Linked DNA regions of Arabidopsis thaliana. The protein of the gene in region 3 interacts with the protein of the main gene of each other region in a pairwise test. Each region holds a gene or a part of one and is shown on either strand. Other genes may lie near its edges. The genes, in order: MGT9, PHT4;1, AT5G52420 and ABCD2.

Region 1 (6,359 bases), 4.5 Mb from region 3:
TTTGTGCGTTTGTTTTGATGGAGTAGGTGACTCAACAAGATATGGATGATACGTATCAACCACCGTTCAAGAGTTGTGTGGTTGATGGGAATGTGGCGAGTGTTATGTGTTCTTACAATCAAGTTAACGGCAAACCGACATGCGCTGATCCAGATCTGCTCTCTGGTGTTATCCGCGGTGAATGGAAATTAAATGGGTAATGATCTGATCTGATCCGATCAGCTAAGTTTAAATCCTTTTCGTGTGTTTTGGTTTTGATTTTGGTTCTATTTTTATAGGTACATTGTTTCAGATTGTGATTCAGTAGATGTCTTGTATAAGAACCAACACTATACAAAGACTCCAGCTGAAGCTGCAGCCATATCTATATTGGCAGGTTTGGATTTAAACTGTGGTTCATTCTTGGGTCAACATACAGAGGAAGCAGTTAAGTCGGGTTTGGTAAACGAGGCAGCTATCGATAAAGCGATTTCGAACAACTTTTTGACCCTTATGCGTTTAGGATTCTTTGATGGAAACCCAAAGAACCAAATCTATGGCGGGTTAGGTCCTACCGACGTTTGCACGTCTGCGAATCAAGAGCTAGCAGCAGATGCAGCAAGACAAGGCATTGTTCTACTCAAGAATACTGGATGCTTACCGCTTTCTCCTAAATCGATCAAAACACTAGCCGTGATTGGACCAAACGCGAATGTCACCAAAACAATGATTGGAAACTACGAAGGCACGCCGTGTAAATACACAACACCACTACAAGGACTAGCCGGGACGGTATCTACAACATATCTACCAGGCTGCTCCAATGTAGCTTGTGCTGTAGCGGATGTAGCCGGCGCCACGAAACTAGCAGCCACTGCAGATGTGTCTGTGCTTGTGATCGGTGCCGATCAATCAATCGAGGCAGAGAGCCGAGACAGAGTCGACCTGCATCTTCCTGGACAGCAACAAGAGCTGGTGATCCAAGTGGCTAAAGCAGCAAAAGGACCGGTCTTGCTCGTCATTATGTCCGGTGGAGGTTTCGATATTACATTCGCTAAGAATGACCCAAAGATCGCCGGAATTTTGTGGGTTGGTTATCCCGGAGAAGCCGGTGGTATCGCCATTGCTGATATCATCTTTGGCCGTTATAATCCAAGTAAGAGACTCTGTTTCAAACCGGTTTTTGTAATTGCAAATTTGAATAAACCGGTTTTGGTTATGTAGGTGGGAAATTACCGATGACGTGGTATCCACAGTCGTATGTAGAGAAAGTTCCGATGACAATAATGAACATGAGACCCGATAAAGCAAGCGGGTATCCGGGTCGGACTTACCGATTCTACACCGGAGAAACAGTATACGCATTCGGAGATGGACTCAGCTACACCAAATTCAGTCACACTTTAGTCAAAGCTCCAAGTCTCGTTTCTCTCGGTCTCGAAGAGAATCACGTTTGCCGATCATCGGAATGTCAATCGCTAGACGCGATCGGACCGCACTGCGAAAACGCTGTCTCCGGCGGTGGATCGGCGTTTGAAGTTCATATCAAGGTACGAAACGGAGGAGATAGAGAAGGGATTCACACGGTGTTTCTATTCACGACGCCGCCGGCGATTCACGGATCGCCGAGGAAGCATTTGGTAGGATTCGAGAAGATTCGATTGGGGAAGAGGGAAGAAGCGGTGGTTAGGTTTAAGGTAGAGATATGTAAAGATCTGAGTGTGGTTGATGAGATTGGGAAGAGGAAGATTGGTTTGGGAAAGCATCTTCTTCATGTCGGAGATTTAAAACATTCCTTAAGCATTAGAATCTGATTCTATATTTTTATTTGAGGAAGAAAAAAAGAATATTAATATGCTTAAGCTTTTGCAAGTTGGAAAAGAAAAGTAATAAAAAAAAGAAATTGTGAATCTCTTTAAAATTATAGCATTAGTAGCCGAAAATGTGGGGCATATATAAACATAATTCGAATATCTAAAATATATCATGTGTAATTCATGTGTAACATAAATCTAGCTAATATCAGTTAGAGTTAGATTTATGTTTGGTATTTCAATTTAAGTAAATTTAGTCTTTTTTTTTTTAATTAGTTGCTCAAACTAATAATTCTGATAACAAGCAGATAAACTCGTAGTATATCCCGATCAAAAATAAATTAATTTTTATTTTCTTAATCTAAACTAAACCGGGTTTTGTGTCGAATTTAGGTGATTCGACTCAAATATGAACAACATTTACCAGAAATCAGGGTTATTATTACCGGTTTATTGCGGTTTACATTTTAAATATAAATAAGATTCACCTCTAACAGAATATATCACGTTTTCCTTTTTTTCTGAAACTGTAAAACTCTCTCACAAAGCAAAAAAACCAAACCTAAACAAAAATCTAGAAAGAAAGATTTCCGAAAATCTTTTTAATGAAAAAAGAGCAGACAGGACGAGAATTCGCTTTTCTGAATCCTTTAGAGTATTGTTTTCTCCGTCGAATTCGCATGAACACTTGAGCTCAACAAGGTCAGATTCTCTTGTTCGCTTTTTTTTTTTTGATGAAGAATTCGACTGTTGTGTTGATGCTGGTGCTCTGAATTTTACAGACGGCGTGGAAGTGGACGGTGAGGTAGTTTTTTTTAGTTTTTGAAAGACATGGCGCAAAACGGGTACTTGGTTCCAGCGGATCCTTCGGCGGTTGTGACGGTGAAGAAGAAAACGCCACAAGCGTCGTGGGCTCTTATTGACGCGACGGGACAGAGTGAGCCACTCGATGTTGATAAGTATGAGATCATGCACCGTGTCCAGATCCACGCTCGCGATCTCCGGATTCTAGACCCCAATTTATCTTACCCTTCCACTATTCTTGGCCGAGAGAGAGCCATTGTTCTCAATTTGGAGGTTTGGTTCTGTTTTTTGGTTCTTCAGGCATTCATTGTTTCTGGGTTTTGTTTTTGTTTCAGAGTGTAATTAGTTTTGTTCCTTCTTCTTTATGCAGCATATCAAGGCTATTATCACTTCCGAAGAGGTTAGTAGTTTACTCTTTGATTCCTTTGCTTACCACACTTAGATTTGTAGGGTTTTTGCAGTAAAAAGTTTCGATTTTTATTTTGTTAGGTAGATTTTTTTCTGAATATGCAGATGTTCATGTTAAAGTTTGATTCTTTCTTGTAGCCAGTTTTTCAAAATGCTGACAATGTGTTAAGGAACTTGAGCAATCACTGAACTAGGCAAAAATTTGGCTAATTTTTCAGTTCTGTTCTTACTATGCTATAGTGTGTTGAAAGTTCATAATATCAGCCAGGCTTTGATCTATTTAGCACTATGGAATGCTTAGAGGAGTATAGCTTTTGAGTTCTCTTCTTGTAGTAATGACTTGGGCTTATTACAGGTTTTGCTTCGGGATCCGTCTGATGAAAATGTTATTCCAGTTGTGGAGGAGCTTCGAAGACGCTTACCTGTTGGAAATGCATCACACAATGGTGGTCAAGGAGACGGGAAAGAGATCGCAGGTGCTCAAAACGACGGTGATACTGGTGACGAAGATGGTATTGTCCCTAGAGACTCTTGGCTCTTTTCCTAAACCATCTAAACTCTGTGAAATTCATCTCCTTTTTGATGACCCTTAATTTGCCTTTTCATATATGTTGAAATGTCTGCTTGTTGCAATATAGAATCCCCATTTGAATTTCGGGCGCTGGAAGTAGCTTTGGAAGCAATCTGTAGCTTCTTAGCTGCAAGGACAGCAGAATTAGAAACAGCTGCTTATCCTGCTTTGGATGAGCTTACCTCAAAGGTAGGTACCTCAATGATTTATTATCACCAGTGATCCAGTTTTCAACTACATTTTTACATTCGTCTTGTAGATTAGTAGCCGTAATTTGGATAGAGTTCGGAAATTGAAGAGTGCCATGACTCGGTTGACAGCTCGGGTTCAAAAGGTGAGCAGGTATCTTTTTCTTATGACTTATGAGTATTTGTAAAGTTTGTAATATGAATAGAGAACTAAGTAGCTTCATCGCCTTTTGCAGGTAAGAGATGAACTCGAACAGTTGCTGGATGATGACGATGATATGGCAGATCTTTACCTTTCAAGGAAACTTTCAAGTGCTTCCTCACCGATTAGTAGTATTGGTGAACCAAATTGGTATACTACTTCCCCAACAATAGGCTCTAAGATTTCAAGAGCAAGTAGAGCGAGTTTAGCCACAGTTCATGGGGATGAGAATGATGTTGAAGAACTTGAAATGTTACTCGAGGTTTGTTGATCCTGCACAAAATCTTTTATCTGATTCTGATCTATCTTCCATTCAAATGCCAAGTCCAAATACACACGTCTTGATATCTTTACAGGCATACTTCATGCAGATCGACAGCACTTTGAACAGATTAACAACAGTTATCCTCTTGCTCCCTTTTCTTTCTGTTCTTTTTTGCAGACTTTTTTTACTTTAAAAACTTAATTTTTGACTCTGATGCAGCTACGTGAGTATATTGATGACACAGAGGACTACATTAACATCCAGGTATCCAAAAACGAAACCTCAAAATTTTTAACATGTTCTTGAAATCTGAATATAAGTCATTATATTAAAAGCTAAAACTCGTCGGTTTTCTATTCACAGCTTGACAATCATCGGAATCAGCTTATTCAGGTACGTGAATGTCGAAAGCCAAAGTTTTTTTAATATGTCATCTTCTTTTGTTGATCATCTTCAAAATCCTGCAGTTGGAGCTAGTGTTAAGTTCTGGAACAGTTTGCTTATCGATGTACTCTCTTGTCGCTGGAATTTTCGGGATGAACATTCCATACACATGGAACGACGGTCATGGATACATGTTCAAATACGTAAGAAACCAGAATTCTATTCGCATGAGGATGAAATAAAGATCTCTCTCAAGATTAACTTATGTTTATCGGGGTTTTTGGTTGTTGCAGGTGGTGGGCTTGACGGGGACACTTTGTGTAGTCGTGTTTGTGATCATAATGTCGTACGCTAGGTACAAAGGACTTGTGGGATCTTGATGGCTGAATTTGGGTTAGATGGAGAGATTGTGAAGGGGCATTGGGCAGATCTTGTTTTCGATTATTATACTTGTGGTCGTTCTGAGTTTTGAACGAGCTTCACAATTATTTTAGTTGTCGCATCATAAAATTTAATCAAACATATTGAAAAAAGCAGAAGCATTGTGACTTGTAATTGCAAAGATAAGCTCTACCATCGATTCCTTACAATTAGAGCATAGAAATCAAATTTAGGATCCTTGATTCCTTATTAGCTAGACAACTTTTCAATAATTATCGGTTGAAGCCCGTTTAGACCCGCGGGCTTAGTGCCTATTTTAATATCGCTAGTTGATGTTATAACGTTTCTATTTGAAGTCTCTTCATGATTTAGGTTTCCATTGTCACACACAAAAATGGTGTGTTTTGGATTCTCTTGTAAGTCTTATCAAAAGAGAAGTTTTTGAGATTACATTGGCAGAGAAGATTGGGCTAGAGTTGGGCCTGTTGATGTTTATTTTGAACAAAGTCAATTTAAAATCCATCCAATAAGGAGCTTTAGAAGAAAATATTTTATAAAATAAAAATGTATGCATGCGAACGAAGAAACAAACTCTGTCCTAAACCCTATGCTGATGAAGTCAAAACCTAAAAACATGATGTAAAATATTGCAACAAGGCTTTCGTGTTTCCACATACACATTTGTTACCAGATATGTTATTAAATGATTAAGAAGGTATAAAATATCGTCGACGTCAGCCGTTTCGCGTGGAGAGTTGAGGCCGAAGCTGACGGAATCGCCGACTAGTAAAGATTCCTTTTATTTTATGCCTTTTTTGTACTTTTTCTTTGATATATAATTCATTTTTATTTAAAATATTATGATAGATTCTTCCACTCTGCAAGGAACCTCATTGGCTGACGTAATAGGATTTGCCTCTTGGAACATCATAAAAATCACAATTTCATTCATTTAAAAGAAAATAGTCGTTCGTCTTTATTGTGGTCCTTTGGCGACAATTTTCATCACACCACGACAAAACAATTGGTATCAAATTATATAAATAAATTGTTCTTACTTCTTCTTCTCCCAGCGCACATCTAACATTTTGTTCCTCTCATTAATCACTTCAATTATTTTCCAACGAAGAAATATTTCATTTACGTACATCAATGATATTATTTGCATTGTTTCATATTTTTGTTTTGTTTTGTGATTGTTTCCTACTATACATATAACATATACAAATTACAATTGATGTTTGAATATGTATGTTGCTTGAGTAGAGGAAATTTGAACGTTTTCGCTTATAGTCTTATAGATCTAGATGTAAGTACAAACATAAAATAAAGAAACAGAATCACAAGTCTTTTATTTCGTTGA
Region 2 (6,281 bases), on a different chromosome or scaffold from region 3:
ATTTGTACGATGTTATGTAATTACATTTAAATTATTGTATACAATGTAAATTATAAAGAAGACAAACTCGAAATTTAGAGGAATCCAAGGCTACACAGAATTATTTTATTGATATGAATATTTGGTTTCACAAATTTTTGTTGCTTAGGATGCGGACGTAGACAGGGGAACACGTGCACATGTCTCATTTCTAATCTCTGCGCCTCATCAGTGCATATGTGTTTACTAATTAGATCCATGCACACATCCATGCATTTGATCATAACAAATTATTAAAAGAAAATAAACAAAGTGATTTTATTTATAAATGTTTCATTCAGTTTAATTAGGCTTTTTATATATACAGAACATGACAAAAAAAAATTAGGTTAAGGTTTCGCTTTCAGGAGAAGAAAAGCGAAATATTCAAGTGGCAGTTGGAGGTGCTAAGTTTTTGATTCGTTTAGTTTAATATGAATGTTAGTATATAAATGTTATCACGTTCATGTTTTCATCACAATCAATCGTGGTTTTGCCTCACCATTTTATTTTTGTTTTGGAAAATGTATATTCTAATTACTCTGAATATAACTACATATTGATGAAAACTCGTCATATTTGACACTGAGATTATATATACCATGGAAATTTTGATTAGTAGAAAAAAGTTGCGCCTATTTAAAATTAATTCGTAGGCTCATATAGGATAACGATTGAAGGTCATAAATCAGATTAATTACTACCACTTGGTTGGATAAATTATTTTCATCACATTGTCGGTAGAGAATATCACATTGTACAAACTAAAAAACGTATTATTTTTTCTCATATAACCAAATCTAGAAAGTGTAATTTGGTTATAGCTTAGATGTCGTTTAGCTAATAAATATAGAAATAAAATAATAGAGAAAGGAGAGTTAGTGATGAATGATTGAAATGGTGAATGATAATTGGAGAAGTGGGCCACGTGAGAGAAGCATGTACTTTTGGAAAGTGGGTCATTTCGAAGCTCTTCCTGTCTCCATCCACATGAAGTTGGCATTCTTGTGTCTTTACGGCCTAAGTTTGCGTTTCTACCTCTTGAGAAATGAATCTTGCCTTCTTGTTTAGTGACTGGTACGGATCTAATAGTAACATGACACCATCTCATATTTCTGAATTGGACGTCTTTGAATTGAATACCATAACCTAGGTTATAGTCTACACCTACAATATTACGTGCCGATAGATCAACATGCATGATCCGTATAGTTTAGTGATCTCGTTACGTCGTTATATCAATTGGTGAAAATCATCAAGTGTTTTTTTAGGAGTGATGAATTACTGGTACATAAATTTTACGTTTCGTTTAGATTTTGGAAGACCTTGACGACACAGTGGTAGATGTTGGTAAATGGATAACGCATGCAACAAAGAAATAACGATACAACAACAATAATGATGACTTAAAAGAAGAATAAAATAAATAAAAGTGGCAGTCATAATTCATAAAAGCCTAAGCTAGGAAATTCTTATGGTAGACCAGAAGGGACACCTTCGATGAGTAAAATCTGCCGCACCACAATCTTACATCATTCTCATCCCCTAAACTTGGACCTCCTCCATTAATAAATAAGAAAGCTGCAAACGTTAATCTTCTAATTGTGATTTTGTTACAAGTTTTATAGATTCTTTGTTCTATCTAGCTACATATATTTCATACATTTCACTAATTTACAAATATGTAAGAATGTAATCAATGTAATCGACTAAGAATACATCAAACATTACCAAATTTGATTGACATTTACCTCTGTCTATTCGTCCTCAACATTATTATCCCATACGTTCATACAAATTGACATTTTACACTTAATTTTGAATATCATGATCAATACTCTCTCGCATGGGATACTTAATCAATTGTTGGATTAAATATTCTTTCGCATCTTTGTGAACGCAATTAGTGGGTGGTTTGGGTTCCACCTTTGGATCCTGCCTTTATTCCACATAAAGTAGATCACTGGTCATACTCATATCCTTACGGACAATAAACTATTGTTATTGGTATTGCCGTATTATTGTAATTCTATTCATAGGTCTACTTCCAAATCTTTGAGATTTTTTTTTCATTGGGGAAGTAAGATAGATCTCGCAATTTATGCTCGTAAGCTAACATTATTTGGGCCTTATATGGGCTTTATGTTAAACTGATAGTTAATAATGGACCTCCAATAGTTATTCTGTTAACCGTTACTTCCCGTTAGATTATGACATCCTCACTCAACCAATACTTAAACGCCACATGTCGTCACATCAGCCACGACCTTAAAAAAAAATCAATTCCTCTCTCTTAAAACAAAGAAGAAAAAAACAGAGAAGAAGAAGAAAAAATCTATCTCCGCCATGAACGCGAGAGCTCTTCTTTGCTCTTCAAATATTCACTCTCTCTACACTTCAAATCGTCCACCTGAAAAAACCTCTTCTTCTCGCAGCCTCCGTAATCTCAAACCATCTCCAAAGTCGTTACGGGTATGGATCTACCCGCGAAATAGGTCCAGTGTTTTCCGGGTATTAGTTCGGAGCTCCGACAAGAGTGAAAGCAGTAATTCGTATTACGTAGAAGGAGATAAAGTAAGTGGAAACAATGACGTCGTTTCTGATTCGCCTAGCTCTATCGTCCTCCCATGGTGGGAAGAGTTTCCGAAGCGGTGGGTGATTGTGTTACTCTGTTTCTCAGCTTTTCTTCTCTGCAATATGGACAGAGTAAGTAGCAAAAAAGATTGGATTTTTATGGATTGGGAAGAGTTATTCAATTTGGGACAGATGATGTTTTAACAGGTGAATATGAGTATAGCTATACTTCCGATGTCAGCTGAGTATGGTTGGAATCCAGCAACAGTTGGTCTGATTCAGTCTTCTTTCTTCTGGGGTTACCTTCTTACACAGGTAATCTTTTTTCCCTGATTCCTTAATTAGGGTTTCTATTTTTAGATGATCAATGTTTTTTTAAATGAGTCTCACTAGCTTTCACATTTAAATCAAAAGTGTAGTTGAATCAGTGGTTTGTTGATATTATAGATAGCTGGTGGAATTTGGGCAGACACTGTAGGAGGGAAAAGGGTTCTTGGATTCGGTGTTATTTGGTGGTCAATCGCTACAATTCTCACTCCTGTAGCTGCTAAACTCGGTCTTCCTTACTTGCTCGTTGTTCGTGCTTTCATGGGAGTTGGAGAGGTTTGTGATTACTCTTAGTGATGTTAGATATCAGTCTCGGATTTGTGTGTGTTGATAAGGAGAAGTAAGTTCTCATTTGTGTTCTCCAGGGTGTTGCAATGCCTGCTATGAATAATATATTGTCGAAGTGGGTTCCTGTGCAAGAGAGAAGCAGATCACTCGCGCTTGTTTACAGCGGAATGTACCTTGGATCTGTCACCGGTTTAGCCTTTTCGCCTTTCTTGATTCATCAATTTGGATGGCCTTCTGTGTTTTATTCTTTCGGGTCTCTTGGAACTGTATGGTTGACTCTGTGGCTAACTAAGGTCAGACTTTTTCTACTGTTCTTAACTATTTGTAGATCCCATATCTCATTACCATTGACGATTTGACGTGTGTTGTTACTTGTTATAGGCAGAGAGTTCACCATTAGAAGATCCAACATTGCTCCCTGAAGAAAGAAAGCTAATTGCAGACAACTGTGCTAGCAAAGAGCCAGTGAAGTCGATCCCGTGGAGGCTGATATTGTCGAAACCACCGGTTTGGGCTCTCATCAGTTGCCACTTTTGTCACAACTGGGGAACATTCATTCTCTTAACATGGATGCCAACTTATTACCATCAAGTCCGTTATATTACTGTCTTTTAATCAAGAGGCTTGATGTTTTATTTGTTTTCTTATCATTAATCATATGGACGGTTGTGAGGCAGGTGCTGAAGTTCAACCTTATGGAGTCAGGACTTCTCTCTGTATTTCCATGGATGACAATGGCAATATCTGCAAATGCCGGTGGATGGATTGCCGATACACTTGTCAGCCGAGGTTTCTCTGTCACGAATGTCCGCAAGGTACTTTGTATATCACTTCTTCTGTTCTTCAGTTCCGTTTTGATGCAATCTAGTAAAAGTGATACATTCGATAATCAGTTTCTATGATGAAATTCAGATAATGCAAACAATAGGGTTTCTTGGACCAGCGTTCTTCCTAACACAGCTGAAACACATAGATTCTCCTACAATGGCTGTTTTGTGCATGGCTTGTAGTCAGGGGACTGATGCGTTTTCACAGTCTGGTCTATACTCTAACCATCAAGACATCGCTCCAAGATACTCTGTAAGTTTAGTCAATTACTCCCAAGTCTTAATGAATCATGCTACTCAAAAGAAAATGGATTAGCACATTGATGTTGTTGGTCTTCTCAGGGAGTGTTACTTGGTTTGTCTAATACTGCTGGAGTACTTGCCGGAGTTCTTGGCACAGCTGCGACTGGTCACATACTACAACACGGTCAGTACTCTCAAAACACTTCGTAATTCTGACAATGCTTTGCTTAATCTTTATAAAATCTCTTCTAAGTTTCATTTTTTTTGTGTTTTCTCAATGGAATTAACAATGACATGAAATGCCTCAGGTTCTTGGGATGACGTTTTCACGATTTCGGTCGGTCTTTACCTCGTTGGGACCGTCATTTGGAACCTATTTTCAACCGGAGAGAAGATAATCGATTGATCCATTCCGAGAATAGTAAATAGTTCGGCTCCAAGACCTCTCATCAGGTGCAACTTCACCTCACGCCAGTCTCTGATTATACAAGTATCATTGCAGTCTGAGAGCTAGCCGGAATATTCCTTTTTTGCCAGAAAATTCTTCAGGATCTTTCTGCTCGTTGATTTAGGCCAAACGCATATGAATAATACTTTGTAGATGAAAGATATACAGATGATTTTTTGTAAATAAACAAAGCTCACACTTTCTCAAGATTACTCAAAATCTCTCTTCAGCTCTATATATATTTGTATCATAAAGATATTACACGCAATTCTCTAATATGCTATTGCGTAGCAAACAAGTGACCAAGAAAGAGTTTTCGAAACTTAAGGTCATAACTAAAACTTAAGATTTACTGCCACAGGTAGAATTTGATCTTGTGAAGGAGGAAGAGGAGTTTATGAATTGTATGCAGTCTTCTATTGCCGCTGATCTGTGATTATTATCATTAACGACAGAGATGACTGAAGGCTGAGATATCCCAGAAGAAGAAGCCTTCTTCAATGGTGGAGATCTCTTCTTCTTCTTCTTCCTCATCACCACCAGACGTAAGCCCATAACGAATTTACAGCTGAGATCTTTGATCAGTCTTGCTGCTGTGCATTCCGTTTTCCTCGGTAGCCTCAAACCACAGCTTGTTGTGCATCCCGGATTCTTATAATATGGTCCCTTGACTGAGGATTGCTTACCAGGAGTTACTGGTCTAGTGTTTGCATTGAACCGTTTTGTTCCTGTAGCTGACATATCAAGAGAGAGTGAGAACAAACTTGAGGAGAGTAAGGGATTATATTTATAGGGATTGATGCTGAACAAGTTGCCTATAAGAGTTCAGGTAGAGACCAGAGAAGCCATGATTCTTAATAATGTATCAATAATGACATGTTAACACTTAAAGCAATGATTACTGTAGACATTCAAAACATATACAAATAAAATATAAGCAGGTAGGTTCAATTTCATACTTACTTTAGATACTTTATGTCAAAAGGATTGTAATAACTAACAGATCTAAAGATATCAGAAACTTAAACGCCGAAATTTGGAAAGCAAAGGCAGCCATAGAGCAAAAGAAAAAGACTGTTTTTAGTTTTTCTACATTTCCATTAGGGAAAGTAAGTATAAGATGGTCCGCAGAGGTAATAAAACCATTTGTTTAAGCGATAAAGGTTCTTTCTTTAAAGCAACCTTTCGGTATTGTTCCTATTTGATGATCACTCAGGTGTGTGCACAGAAGAAATGTGAACAAATTCTTTTGACTCCTGGAGAGGCTGAGATAAACTAACCTTTATATATTGCAGATACCTTACTTGAGACTTGAGGCTACACAAAAGTAGAGAAAAAAAGAGAGAATAAGAAGAACGAAGTCAATGGTGGGCACAAGAATATCAGCAAGGAAATAATAACCAAGCAACTTCATGACATACATAGACATCAAAGTCTAGAGGGTAATTTGTTACATGTGAGAACATTCCATTGAGATCAGACCAATGAGTGATGACTACTCGGTAGTTAGATGCTAATGGAAGTTGATTGGCATTATATGGCAGGTTCCAAATTAA
Region 3 (4,298 bases):
TTCTTGGGTTTTGAGCACTTTACAGCTCGTAAATGGGGATCGAGGTTCGGTTCTGGATCGATCACACCTGTTGGGCATGGTTCAGGTTTGGCTTCAGGCGCTCTGACACCAAATGGTCCAGAGATAGTATCTGGAAACTTAACACCCAACAATACCACATGGCCTCTTCAAAATCAGATCTCTGAGGTCGCTTCACTGGCAAATTCGGATCATGGCTCTGAAGTCATGGTAGCAGATCACAGAGTTTCGTTTGAGTTAACAGGTGAAGACGTTGCACGTTGTCTTGCAAGCAAGCTAAATCGATCACACGACAGAATGAACAACAATGACCGGATCGAAACAGAGGAGAGTTCATCAACAGACATAAGAAGAAACATAGAGAAAAGGTCAGGAGACAGAGAGAACGAACAGCATAGAATTCAGAAGCTGAGTTCCTCATCGATTGGATCTAGCAAAGAATTTAAATTCGACAACACGAAAGACGAGAATATCGAGAAGGTTGCAGGAAACAGCTGGAGTTTCTTCCCGGGGTTACGATCTGGAGTCAGCTAACCAAATTAAAATGACATCTCTTCTTCTTCTTCCTCATTACCAAAGACAGAGATATAAAACCCTATAAGTAACAAACCTTGAACATGGATCGTGAAAAAAGGTAAGAGATTTGGGTTCTAACAACTTATACACACTGAATAAATAAGCTTAAAGCTTTGATTTGCAGTTAACTTCTGTACTCATGTAGTTGGAAACTTTGGAATATTCTTGGATCAGCTCCTACATCTAATCTTGTTACATTGATATAAATTGTTTATTTCTTGTTTTACTGTTTCATACAAATATATTGTTTGAACTGAGATCGTGAATGGTCTTATTCTATATCATTACTAAAACATTTTCATTTCTGTTCTTTCAGAAACATAGATTCGGTTATTATCGTAAGAAATCTAATACAACTGTGAACTACTACATAAACTGAATTGTTCAAAAGAAAACATCGAAATAATATACAGAACAAAAAGGGAAAACAACAAGAGCTGTGAACCACAAAGGAATTAAACCGGGTTTTGACTCTCCTTATTGGAACCGGAACTAAACCGGGATTTCAATCCTCCTTATCAGAACCGTAATACCTCTTAAACGCTCTGGGTAGATAAACCGGAATCAAAACACCAAAGAGATTAAACGACCAAATCCCTAAATTAGCCGCCGCCAAAACTTTCCCGGCATACATCCGCCGCGCAGAAACCGTCCCCGTCACATCCTCCCTCGAGAACTCACTCATAATCCACTCCACAAGAGTCAAAACCCTCCTGGCGTTGTAAACAATCGGAACAAGAATCCTCGCCGGAGCAGAGAAGCCAAACATGGTCGCTAATCCTTCCATAAAAATCTGACTCGCTAAAAGAAACACGTGCGGTGCAGCTGCGCTAACACCGTTCTTATCATCCTCAACGATTCCTTCGAAGATGTAACAGATCGGAATGATAAGCCCGACGATCCCCGCCGCTGTAACATAGATACGGAAGATTTTGTTTGTGGAGCTTGTGAGAGGAGCGTCACGGTTTGGATTGTTGTGTGGTGGGAAGATAAGTTTCGAGAGGAAGAAGAAGTAGATGAGAGTGAGGATCGTGAATATGAAATCTTGGATTGTTACGAGACCACTTGCGGAGAGAACGATGATTATTGCGAGGATGTTTAGTTGTCGGAATGAGAAGAATCCGGCGGGTTTTCCGGTGGATGATACTGTTGAGGTGGATTGGGTTTGATGTTCTTCTTCTTCTTCTTTGGGTAAGGTTATGTCGTTGTACGTTGGACCGACACCTCCAGACATCGTTTTGGTGTAAGTTTTTTTTTTTTGTTTTCTCGGGAAAATGTGGTGAGAAAGTTTTAGAGGTGGAGGAAGATAAAAAGAGTGTGAAGAAGGGGACACGTGGCGGATAGTGAAGAGTTTTGAATGGAAGAGGTTTAGAAGACGTGGCGGATTATTGTTGTGCTCACAATTAGTTTAGATTTTATTATTTTAACTACATGCAGGTAATTTCGTAAAAGTTCTTAAGAAACATATAAATATATGTGTTAATAGGAAGCCTAATTATTTTGGCTTTCTGGACGTAAGTGCACTAGGCTTTGTAGTTATAGATTTCAATTATAAGCTTCAATGATTACTAGTTATAAAAAATGATATAATTAGTTAGCAGGAAATGAATCCGGAACCATAAACTGTAGAATTGATTTAACTAAAAAGGAACTAATTACTAGAAATCGTATGAAACAAGGCATTGTAGATTACTAGACTTGTAGTAGAATATGGAATATTGTAGATATTCTACAAGAAGAGCTTAGATCATGGGTGAGAATACTTGGTTGTAGAAACAACTTTAAATTCGACCTCCAATGTCAAAGTGTCATTGTCCAAGTAATTACACTCCCGATGGCTATAGCCGCAAAATCTTCGCAACCCCACCCTTGAGTTGATTTCTTGTAACAGACGTTAACTGCAAGAAAAATAAATATATGTAAGGTATTGAAAATTTAGTTAAGACTTGAAAAAAGCAACTAAGTGATTTATTCAAGAATATAGAAAATTGTGTTTCAAAGTTAATTATACGTTTCTGTGTGACGTGATTGTTGTATACATGTGGACGTGGGTATAATACTCGGAGATCTGCATGCACGTAAATCTTCTCATCCTCCGAAAAGGTTTCACTATCAGCTATATATATGCAGAAATAAGGACAACCATTTGCCATCTGCCTCTCTTCCCTTTGGATACATCTTCAAACACCTATAGAAAAGTCACATTATTTTGTATACACTTAGCATACATAGACGTGTATATATATTCAATGACTTATTAGCCTCACCATTCTCTTCCTCCAACTGAAAAGTTGTTTGACACATAAAGATTCTCTGTCAATAAGGAGAAACCATTGGCACTCCAGGAGAATGTGGATGGTGAGAGTTTCTGATCAAAAGACATCACTTCCCAATTGGTAAGGGGTGGAACAACCATCACTTCAACACCAAACTCGCATTTTTGCCCGTCGAATATATATCCATTTTTTGGATTTTCGAATAAGTGGAGAGGAAGCATTTGAGAGAATCCCCATACCATTCTTAAAGCATTGAAACGCTTTACTTCAGTATCTATTAGAAAAAATGGAGTAATTCAACGTGACATATGTGACAAATGAACAAGTCTTATATAGTTAATATAAATATTGAATAATATAGATATGTTTTAAACCAACAACTTTGAATAGTAAAGTACATTTGTTCTTTCTTATTGTAGACGAAGAACTTGACATATGCAAAAACTTCAGATGTGCTGTCTATTTCTACGTACATTGAAATATAACCACTTCCATGGTCCTCGTCGTTCCCTTTTGGATATATAATCAATTTCCTGCAGGTTTTCTTTTTAACAGAAATATTATTGCATAAAGTAAGAAAGATTCATGTTCTTTTCTTATGATGAAGATTTAATTTAACCCTTCAGGAGCTAATGTGTACATAGTAAAATCATGGTCTATATGTGTTACATGTCTCATAAAACATAAATGGTAATATATAAGAGCAAGATTATAGCTACATACCAGTAATACCCGCCTACCGTGAAACGACGAGATTGGTATTTTTCATTGTTAAGTTGTGCGAGATTCTCAATCTTGACAGAATAGCAAGAAGGCGAGGATGTTCCGTGAAACTGCTCGCAATCGTAGAAGTTGGATTTGAGCATGTCGTTTCACCGTATGATAACGTTGTTGCATTCGAAATTGTGTTACCCATTCTTCATGAACCTTATTGGAAAGCAGAAAGAATGTTGCCAGATAGCGTTACATATAGAGAACACAAAATCTCTTATGATATCGTTTTTCAACTTTTAATGTGATTTAATCAAAGATTCATCTTTATCACTTCGTGATATCTTAGCTAATATTTATTTTATTGTTTTGAATTCAACATAGAAATCTCATCATCTCTACCTTTTTTTAATCAAAACAATAGTATCTTTTATCATATCTAACTAAAAATTTACTGCCAAGGTTTTGGTAACTAATTTTAAATATATGGTCAGATATTAAGAAAAATTAGTGAGACTCAACTTAATTTCCTATCATGTTTCAAAATTTGAAGTTGATCCAATACCATATTTATTCTTCAATTGCTTGTAGAATGGATTCAAAGACTAAATGGTGGTAGTAGTAAAAACTGGCGAAGACCACAATCATATAATCAGTGTAGTCATCTATCTAAGTTGGGGCTCATAGCTTTCCGGTTTTGGAATTTAAGACAGTTCA
Region 4 (6,692 bases), on a different chromosome or scaffold from region 3:
CAGATTGAGTCAAAGCCCACTCCGTGACTTTGTCAAAGTAAATCTGCATCGAGAGCAAGCAAGGATTATATAGCATTCAAAGAGCGAGGTAAAGACCCAAAAAAAGAAGGGAGTAAAATAACCTGAAGGTCCTTAGAAAGCACCTGTCTAGCAGCCAAGCCATCGTCCTTATATTCCGATCGTTTAAGGTCAGATATGGCTACAAATTGTCATGGAAGAGGGATTAGAAGGAGAAGTAGTAGGTGATGCAAAAGAAGACAAAAGAAATACCTTGGAGAGGAGAATTCTGTGGAATGGAAGGTTGAATACCATCAATTGCCAACCAATGAGAAAACAGATGCATCAGGAGGTGCATTTGGTAGAGGAGCTTCGATAACCTGCACAAGAGACCATGAAGGGAAGCTTAATAACAATAAACAACATTTCACCATCTTCTTCATTCATGGCCAATCAATGAAGCTTACATTCTTGAGCTCGACATCTTTGTCATCGAAGAAGTATAGATCTCTGTTCTCAGGAGCTCTCTTGAACCGCATACTTTTGGAGCCAGAGGTAGGCTATACAAAAAAAAGTCAAAATCAGGGTCAACGGTATGAAATAAAAGAAGAAGAGAGGAAGAGGAAACCTCCAAATTCCTGAAATGAAGAGCAGAATCGACATCATGAGCCATTAAAGTGGTGCGTCGAGCATGACGCATGCATTTGATAGCTTCCTGGAGATTGCGACGACAAGTTAAAGAGGAGATTAGAGGGCAAAAGTAAAGTTGAAGTTGATGATATACCTGCATGACCTCTCGGACGCGATACTCGACATCGGGAGCAAGAGCGGCTGAGACGTCCGGAGAAAGAGTGGAGAGTCCAATGCTCTGAGCTATCACTTCAATGGATTCTTTCGTCACCATCCTCCTTGCGCCTTCTTTCTTTTTCGACTTTGAGCGACTGAGTCGAGTCAGTCGTGTTACATTTTCTCACTCTATCAGGCTTTCTCAAATGGGCCCATCGTTAGATTTATTGGGCTTATGATAAATACTCAGCCGGTTTTGAATTTTTAGCTCATCTCGCGTGTTATTTTTAATCAGAACTTCGTTGCACTCGTATCTGTATCAATCTCTCTATTTACTTGCATCTTCAGTCAACGTCAAGTCTGGTAGATTATATACAAAATGGACACCAAACATGTTTCTTATATGTTTCATGACACCCGTTTGCAGATTTACCTGCTGCTTCTGTCTCTTATGTAATCAATCAGGTTTTGATCAGCTTTCACTTGGCACCTCCTTTTGATTCAATCTACCGTACAAAGAATCTTGGGCATCCACGTCCTCTATTCGCCAGTTACGTTCATTGCTCTTCGGGTCTGCCGTTGAGATTTGTAAGATCTTGTTATGGAATTTCGTTAAAGTCCGGCGGTGGCCAATGCTTATATATGTAATGCCAGCCGACTGGATTTGCTGGTACAGGAACGCCTGGGCATCAAGAGGAATTTTAATGGCTCAACGCTACATGTACATGATATTATTCTAAATGATAGATGAGAGGAGAACCAACAAGTACCTCATTAGCTTCATCCAACGCACTGGTGGATTCATCCAGGAGCGCCAGCTTTGGCTGAGACAGCAATAACCGTGCAAAGGCAAGGCGCTGCTGCTCACCAAGTGAGAGAACACTGGACCACTCGTGTATCGAATCAAGACCACCAAAGCGATCCGCTATATGTCCAAGACAAACCTTCTCTAGAGTCCGCATCAGATCATCTGTTGTCGGCTTTTCATTTCCGTCCTCTCTAATCAGCAGAGGTGGTGAACCTAACAAAATCAACGCATTTTTTCTTCAGTCGATTTGCTTTTGGGTTCTATAATCTGCTTGCATAAACTTAAATGGAGTTGAAAGAAATGGTTGTTACTAGACACAAATTTAAACTGAGTACCGTCAATATTACTGCCACCAGGTGTCGTCTCCTCCACAGTTGCACTCCAGGTAGGATAAAGCAATTGCTGACGCAAAGATCCCAGAACCATATAAGGCCTTTGTGGAAGGAACAATACGTCTCCTCTTTTCCCTGAATTTTCCTGAGTATCAGATTTCTCCTGTGTAAAATCTACCTCAGGATCGAGGTAGAACGTGATTTTTCCTTTCCCTGACCTCCAAAGACCAGCCATTGCTCTTAGCAGCGAAGTTTTTCCACTCCCACTAGGACCCATTATCTGTTAAATGGCATTTTTAAGTAACTTCCAATCTACCAGTCACATGCTTTAAACACAAGTAGTCAAAGTGAACTAACCAGTAGGTGATCCTTGTCATATACATCTGCAGATAAGTTGTGAACCAATGTGGTTCCGTTTGTTGGTGTCTGAAGAGTAAGCTCCTCGATCTCCAGACGCTTTTGGTTCGGTTGGGACTTGATTGAACCATTGGTGTCCAGCAGTGAAGAGTTCATCTCACTCTGATATGTCAGCTCAATCTCGTCCACAGTGTCAGATGGATCTCTGAAGATGTTGTTATCCAAAAGATCATCAAATTCACCTGTGTTGGAAGAAGTCTTGATATTGTTAGATGCGTAAAAGGAGAATCCCAACCTACAGCAAATGCAGTTTTTCATTTAGCCGTAGAAGTTGATTTGCAGAAACAATGAAACTTTGTGAATATGTTGTACATAAGACATAATTTAGACCCAATTTTAAGCAGGAAAGTGAACAGCTGACTCGATCTTTTTGTCTGCCCATCACACTCTCAACGGTTACACCCGCATTTTTTTCCGGGTATTCACTCTTAGATATTATAAACAAAATCTTACTACTATACAGTCTAACTATTATCTATATATTCTTATCAAAATCCTACTATACACCACACTCTATACTGTTATAACACAAGAAAATAACTAACTACAGCGACACACTGCAACTTCTACTCTTCGATATTCTAAACAAAACCCTACTACTAAAATATCTATTTCTCACCATCAGGTAACAGAAATTATGGTGATGTGCATATTCTGCGTCTAATGTTGTTCGGTATTGATCTAAGGTCTTGTGTGATCTGTAAGCAACAAGTAGTATATATATAGAACATTAAAAGAGAGTGCAGAATACATAATTAATCTACCTAGTCGATCAATGACAGCAGAAAAAGAGCTGATAGCTTGAAACTGATAGACAACGAGCGAGAAGTCTCCTAGGATATGATTGAATGCAGACACTGACTGGTTAATGACACCAAACTCAATCTTCCCGGAGAAATACATTGGGGCAACAACAGCAACTGGAAGAATCTGAATGAGGTAGCGATATCCATCGGTGAAGAATTCTAGGTTTCTAGATGCTATCAGCAATTCCTGCAGGTGAAAAAATTGAATGTAATTTATTGTGCAATCTATAGATATATATATAAATGGATAAGAAAGCTCGAGAAATTTTACAGTTAAATTATCAAAAGCGCTTCTGAAACGCTGAAGCAGAAGCTGCATTTCATTCTGTTCGCCTCCATAGAAAGCAATAGATTCAGCATTTTCCCTCACTCGTACAAGGCTGTAACGAAAGTCAGCCTCTTTCTTCTCTTGTAGAAAGTTGAGATTCACTAGTCCCTGAACACAAGAGGGAATGTTAATGCAACAAAGCCAAAATCTGAAGCGGAACAGAATAGAGACAATCACACTGCTTAACGAGGCATTGTTGTACCTTGCCAAGAAAGACACTGATGGCTGTACCGCCAAAGGAGTAGAGCAAGAGAACGAGAAAGAGAGGAGGATAAATGGTGAAGAGGATGTTGCTAAAAGAGATGAGATCAATGGTGGCATTAACAAGCGTCAAAGAGAAAGACAAGGCAGTTCCAGTGAAGGAACTCAAATCGTCAACAAGGCGCTGATCAGGATTGTCGATGATAGACTGAGACTGGATCTTGTAAAAGGTTTGATCTTTGAGATAGCGCTGCAGGTAATATTTGGTCATCCATGATCTCCATCTCAGTGATAAAGTCTCTTTTGTATAATCTCGTAGCACAAAGAACTGCAAAATCCAGGGAAAGTGAACAACATCATTCATTGAGATTGGATACAGAGGGAGGAGCGTGAGGAAAACTCACCGGAATGCCGCCGGCGAAAGCACAGAGGTAATAGAACAACTGCTTGGTGAATTGCTCTTGGTCTTTGTCTATTGAACACAGAGAAAAGAGGATCAACAGAGCAAGTTGTTTTTGAAAAGTGAGAAATGAGAGAGAGAGTTGAAGAATTCGTACTGGCGAGAGAATTGTAGAAATCACGGCCGAGGAAATTGAAGCCGACGCTAATGCCGGTGGTGGCGAGAGTAAGGGCGAAGACGGCGGCGAGACGAAGCCTGGCTTGGTCTTTGTCCTCGGAAAACCAATAAGGCGACGCGACTTTGTAGAATTTCTTCCACAGAGTCTTCAACTCCGATGCCTTATCCGGACGAACCGACGGTTGCGGCAACAAAGAAGAACATGATACGGTTCTGAAACGTGGATTTTTCTTCCGATGAAAGTTTCCGATCGATGATTCATGGCGAAGCAAAGAAGAATGGCGTAGGAGAAGGTGAGGAGGACAAACGGGAGCTGTTATCATCAAAATCATCCTCCGTCGTCTTCTTACTAATCCCACATAGCCATAGCAACTTGAGGGAGCAAGAGGGAACACTTATAACTAAAGCTCAACCATTCATTTCTTTGCCAGATAAATAATACAAAGGGAAAGAGAAGATAATGACAACGAGAACGTAGCCATTTCTGTTGATTGGTAGCTTTTACAACAGAGATTATACAGAGAAAGAAGGGCTAAAAAGATTCAATTTTTAACGAATCAATGAGGAGTGAGTCTCGGCTTTGGGAAATCTGAGTTCCTCAATAAATTACCCAATTAGTCTATCTCCTTTTATTCATGCAATAGCCCCTTTTCAGGCTTTAAGTTCTACACCTATGAAAGAGCATCAAATCAAACATCACGCTGCTGAGACTCTTTGCTTTTCAGATTTCCATTCTTTCTTCTCACAACCTGGAGTTGTTGCCTAACAATCTTCTTTTTAACTCCCATGCCACCGCATCAATGAACTCTTCCGTATTCACATACTGATCCCTCCTAACCCTGTTCAAATAGTAGACAAAAACTTATCTTTAAACATTTTTTATTAAGTGCATCAACCTCATCAACTTTCTCTCAAGTTTTAGTCTTACTTGGCTCCGTGGATCAGAAGAGCTAGATCCTTGGTCATTTTGCCAGACTCCACCGTCCCCATGCAAGCTGCTTCTAGTTTCTCAGTATAGCTCAAGAGTGCGGCATTGCTGTCCAGCTTTGCCCTGGTACCATCACATACCAAACATCTTGTTAAGATGAACTCAACCAGTTTTCAGAGACTTTAAACTCAATTTATGCCAAAGGTAAAACGGTTCACATAGTTCAGTGATCAATTATAAAGAGACAAGTAATGACAAATCTTACCACAAACAATCCCTGATAGACTAACTCATTATTGAAGCAAGGGACTGGATTTTCTCCAGAGTAGCAACACGAATTACCAAGTATGAAAATGTTTAAAGACAGTGGAAATGCGTTACCTGTGGGCAAGGCCTCTGGACCAAGCAAAAATAGAGGCTATGCTGTTGGTGCTTGTTTCACCACCTTTCTGGTGAACTCTGTAGTGGCGTGTAACTGTGCCATGAGCTGCTTCTGCTTCAATGGTCTTTCCATCTGGACAAACCTGTAATATATCTCAAATTTAATACATAAAATATAATGATGCGCAGGAAACATGTTATCATGATAAAGACCAAAAACTTTGGCTGAGGCCCGCGTCATTTCATACCAACACCGAAGTCATCATTCCCAGAGATCCATATCCTGCAGCGGAGAGCAGAAACTTTGTTTCATAAGGAGAAATAAAATTGAAGTTTCTGTCCCCATTTAGATCACAAGTAAAGAACAAAGAACCATGATACAAGACCAAAATGCATTTGGCAGAATTAAGGTTTCAGTCCCTAGACAGATCTCAAATTTAAGAGGAAAAACCTTGGGCTAAGAAATCGCTCTGTACATCTCCATCGTAATTCTTGCATGCCCAGACGTAACCCCCTTCACTTTTCATGGCATATGCAACCATATCATCTATCAAACGATGCTCATACCTGGATTTCATTAACTTTGTTTACAAGTTTGCATGGTGTACTGTAATAGAATGTCGCTAATAACATGCACATCTCACCATATCCCTGCTGCTTCATACTTGGATCTCCAGTTAGCTTCATAAACTTCTTGGAATATATCCTTGAATCTGAAAACAAGATGAAAAGGTAATATCAGGGCAGTATGACTAGATGGTGAAATGATTTCGGTGAGACTCTAACAAGAAAGTATAAAGGCCAGTGAATTCACACCTTCCATCATATATTTTGAGGATGGTGTTTTTTGTGGAGAGGTAAAGTGGCCACTTTTTCTGGTAAGCTGTGTACATCGAGGACTCAGCAAATGCACGAATAGACTGTTCAAAAATGAAATCGGACCACCATATCAATAGATACTCTGTAAGTGTATTCAGATAGTGCAGACATGAAGGAGAGGACTATTTCAATAATATCTACCTCATCAGTGTTATACATGGCTAAAGCAACACCTCCACCGGTGAAATTGAAGACTTCGAATTCTGTTTTCTGAGAAGATCCACTTGGCTCTGCATATGTAAGATATGATTT

The links.
Region 1: the proteins of AT5G52420 (region 3) and MGT9 interact in a protein complementation assay, tested with the Arabidopsis thaliana proteins (one large-scale study listed by BioGRID).
Region 2: the proteins of AT5G52420 (region 3) and PHT4;1 interact in a protein complementation assay, tested with the Arabidopsis thaliana proteins (one large-scale study listed by BioGRID).
Region 4: the proteins of AT5G52420 (region 3) and ABCD2 interact in a protein complementation assay, tested with the Arabidopsis thaliana proteins (one large-scale study listed by BioGRID).

Annotation. Positions count from the first base shown.
Region 1 is NC_003076.8:25,805,661-25,812,019, reverse strand, and holds MGT9 (magnesium transporter 9), read left to right. Parts: upstream 1-2,308; 5' UTR 2,309-2,495; intron 2,496-2,575; 5' UTR 2,576-2,624; coding exon 2,625-2,870; intron 2,871-2,967; coding exon 2,968-2,997; intron 2,998-3,360; coding exon 3,361-3,517; intron 3,518-3,643; coding exon 3,644-3,765; intron 3,766-3,835; coding exon 3,836-3,910; intron 3,911-4,000; coding exon 4,001-4,228; intron 4,229-4,322; coding exon 4,323-4,367; intron 4,368-4,450; coding exon 4,451-4,495; intron 4,496-4,594; coding exon 4,595-4,624; intron 4,625-4,698; coding exon 4,699-4,818; coding exon of another isoform or gene 4,819-4,857; exon of another isoform or gene 4,858-4,899; intron 4,900-4,908; coding exon 4,909-4,995; 3' UTR 4,996-5,322; downstream 5,323-6,359. Other genes in the region: XYL4 (beta-D-xylosidase 4), read left to right, coding at 27-196, 279-1,135, 1,204-1,793. UniProt on the Arabidopsis thaliana protein: Low-affinity magnesium transporter that mediates the influx of magnesium. Plays a crucial role in male gametophyte development and male fertility.
Region 2 is NC_003071.7:12,672,087-12,678,367, reverse strand, and holds PHT4;1 (phosphate transporter 4;1), read left to right. Parts: upstream 1-2,290; 5' UTR 2,291-2,364; coding exon 2,365-2,724; exon of another isoform or gene 2,725-2,799; coding exon 2,800-2,907; intron 2,908-3,039; coding exon 3,040-3,195; intron 3,196-3,284; coding exon 3,285-3,500; intron 3,501-3,588; coding exon 3,589-3,798; intron 3,799-3,884; coding exon 3,885-4,022; intron 4,023-4,100; coding exon of another isoform or gene 4,101-4,109; exon of another isoform or gene 4,110-4,119; coding exon 4,120-4,287; intron 4,288-4,376; coding exon 4,377-4,461; intron 4,462-4,585; coding exon 4,586-4,683; 3' UTR 4,684-5,067; downstream 5,068-6,281. Other genes in the region: AT2G29654 (uncharacterized protein), read left to right, coding at 907-1,089; JOSL (JOSEPHIN-like protein), read right to left, coding at 5,068-5,459, 6,006-6,042, 6,147-6,281. UniProt on the Arabidopsis thaliana protein: Specific for inorganic phosphate transport across the thylakoid membrane in a sodium dependent manner. Binds glutamate but cannot transport it. May act as an ascorbate transporter at the thylakoid membrane.
Region 3 is NC_003076.8:21,279,347-21,283,644, reverse strand, and holds AT5G52420 (uncharacterized protein), read right to left. Parts: upstream 1,873-4,298; 5' UTR 1,829-1,872; coding exon 1,100-1,828; 3' UTR 839-1,099; downstream 1-838. Other genes in the region: AT5G52430 (hydroxyproline-rich glycoprotein family protein), read left to right, coding at 1-552.
Region 4 is NC_003070.9:20,284,809-20,291,500, reverse strand, and holds ABCD2 (ABC transporter family protein), read right to left. Parts: upstream 4,646-6,692; 5' UTR 4,585-4,645; coding exon 4,233-4,584; intron 4,148-4,232; coding exon 4,080-4,147; intron 4,004-4,079; coding exon 3,677-4,003; intron 3,583-3,676; coding exon 3,418-3,582; intron 3,334-3,417; coding exon 3,105-3,333; intron 2,969-3,104; exon of another isoform or gene 2,523-2,968; coding exon 2,281-2,522; intron 2,204-2,280; coding exon 1,927-2,203; intron 1,805-1,926; coding exon 1,554-1,804; intron 1,466-1,553; coding exon 1,256-1,465; 3' UTR 1,100-1,255; downstream 1-1,099. Other genes in the region: TAF6B (TBP-ASSOCIATED FACTOR 6B), read right to left, coding at 1-43, 123-199, 271-377, 465-712, 782-901; ICDH (isocitrate dehydrogenase), read right to left, coding at 4,995-5,091, 5,181-5,303, 5,562-5,704, 5,810-5,844, 6,013-6,128, 6,206-6,274, 6,378-6,481, 6,582-6,670.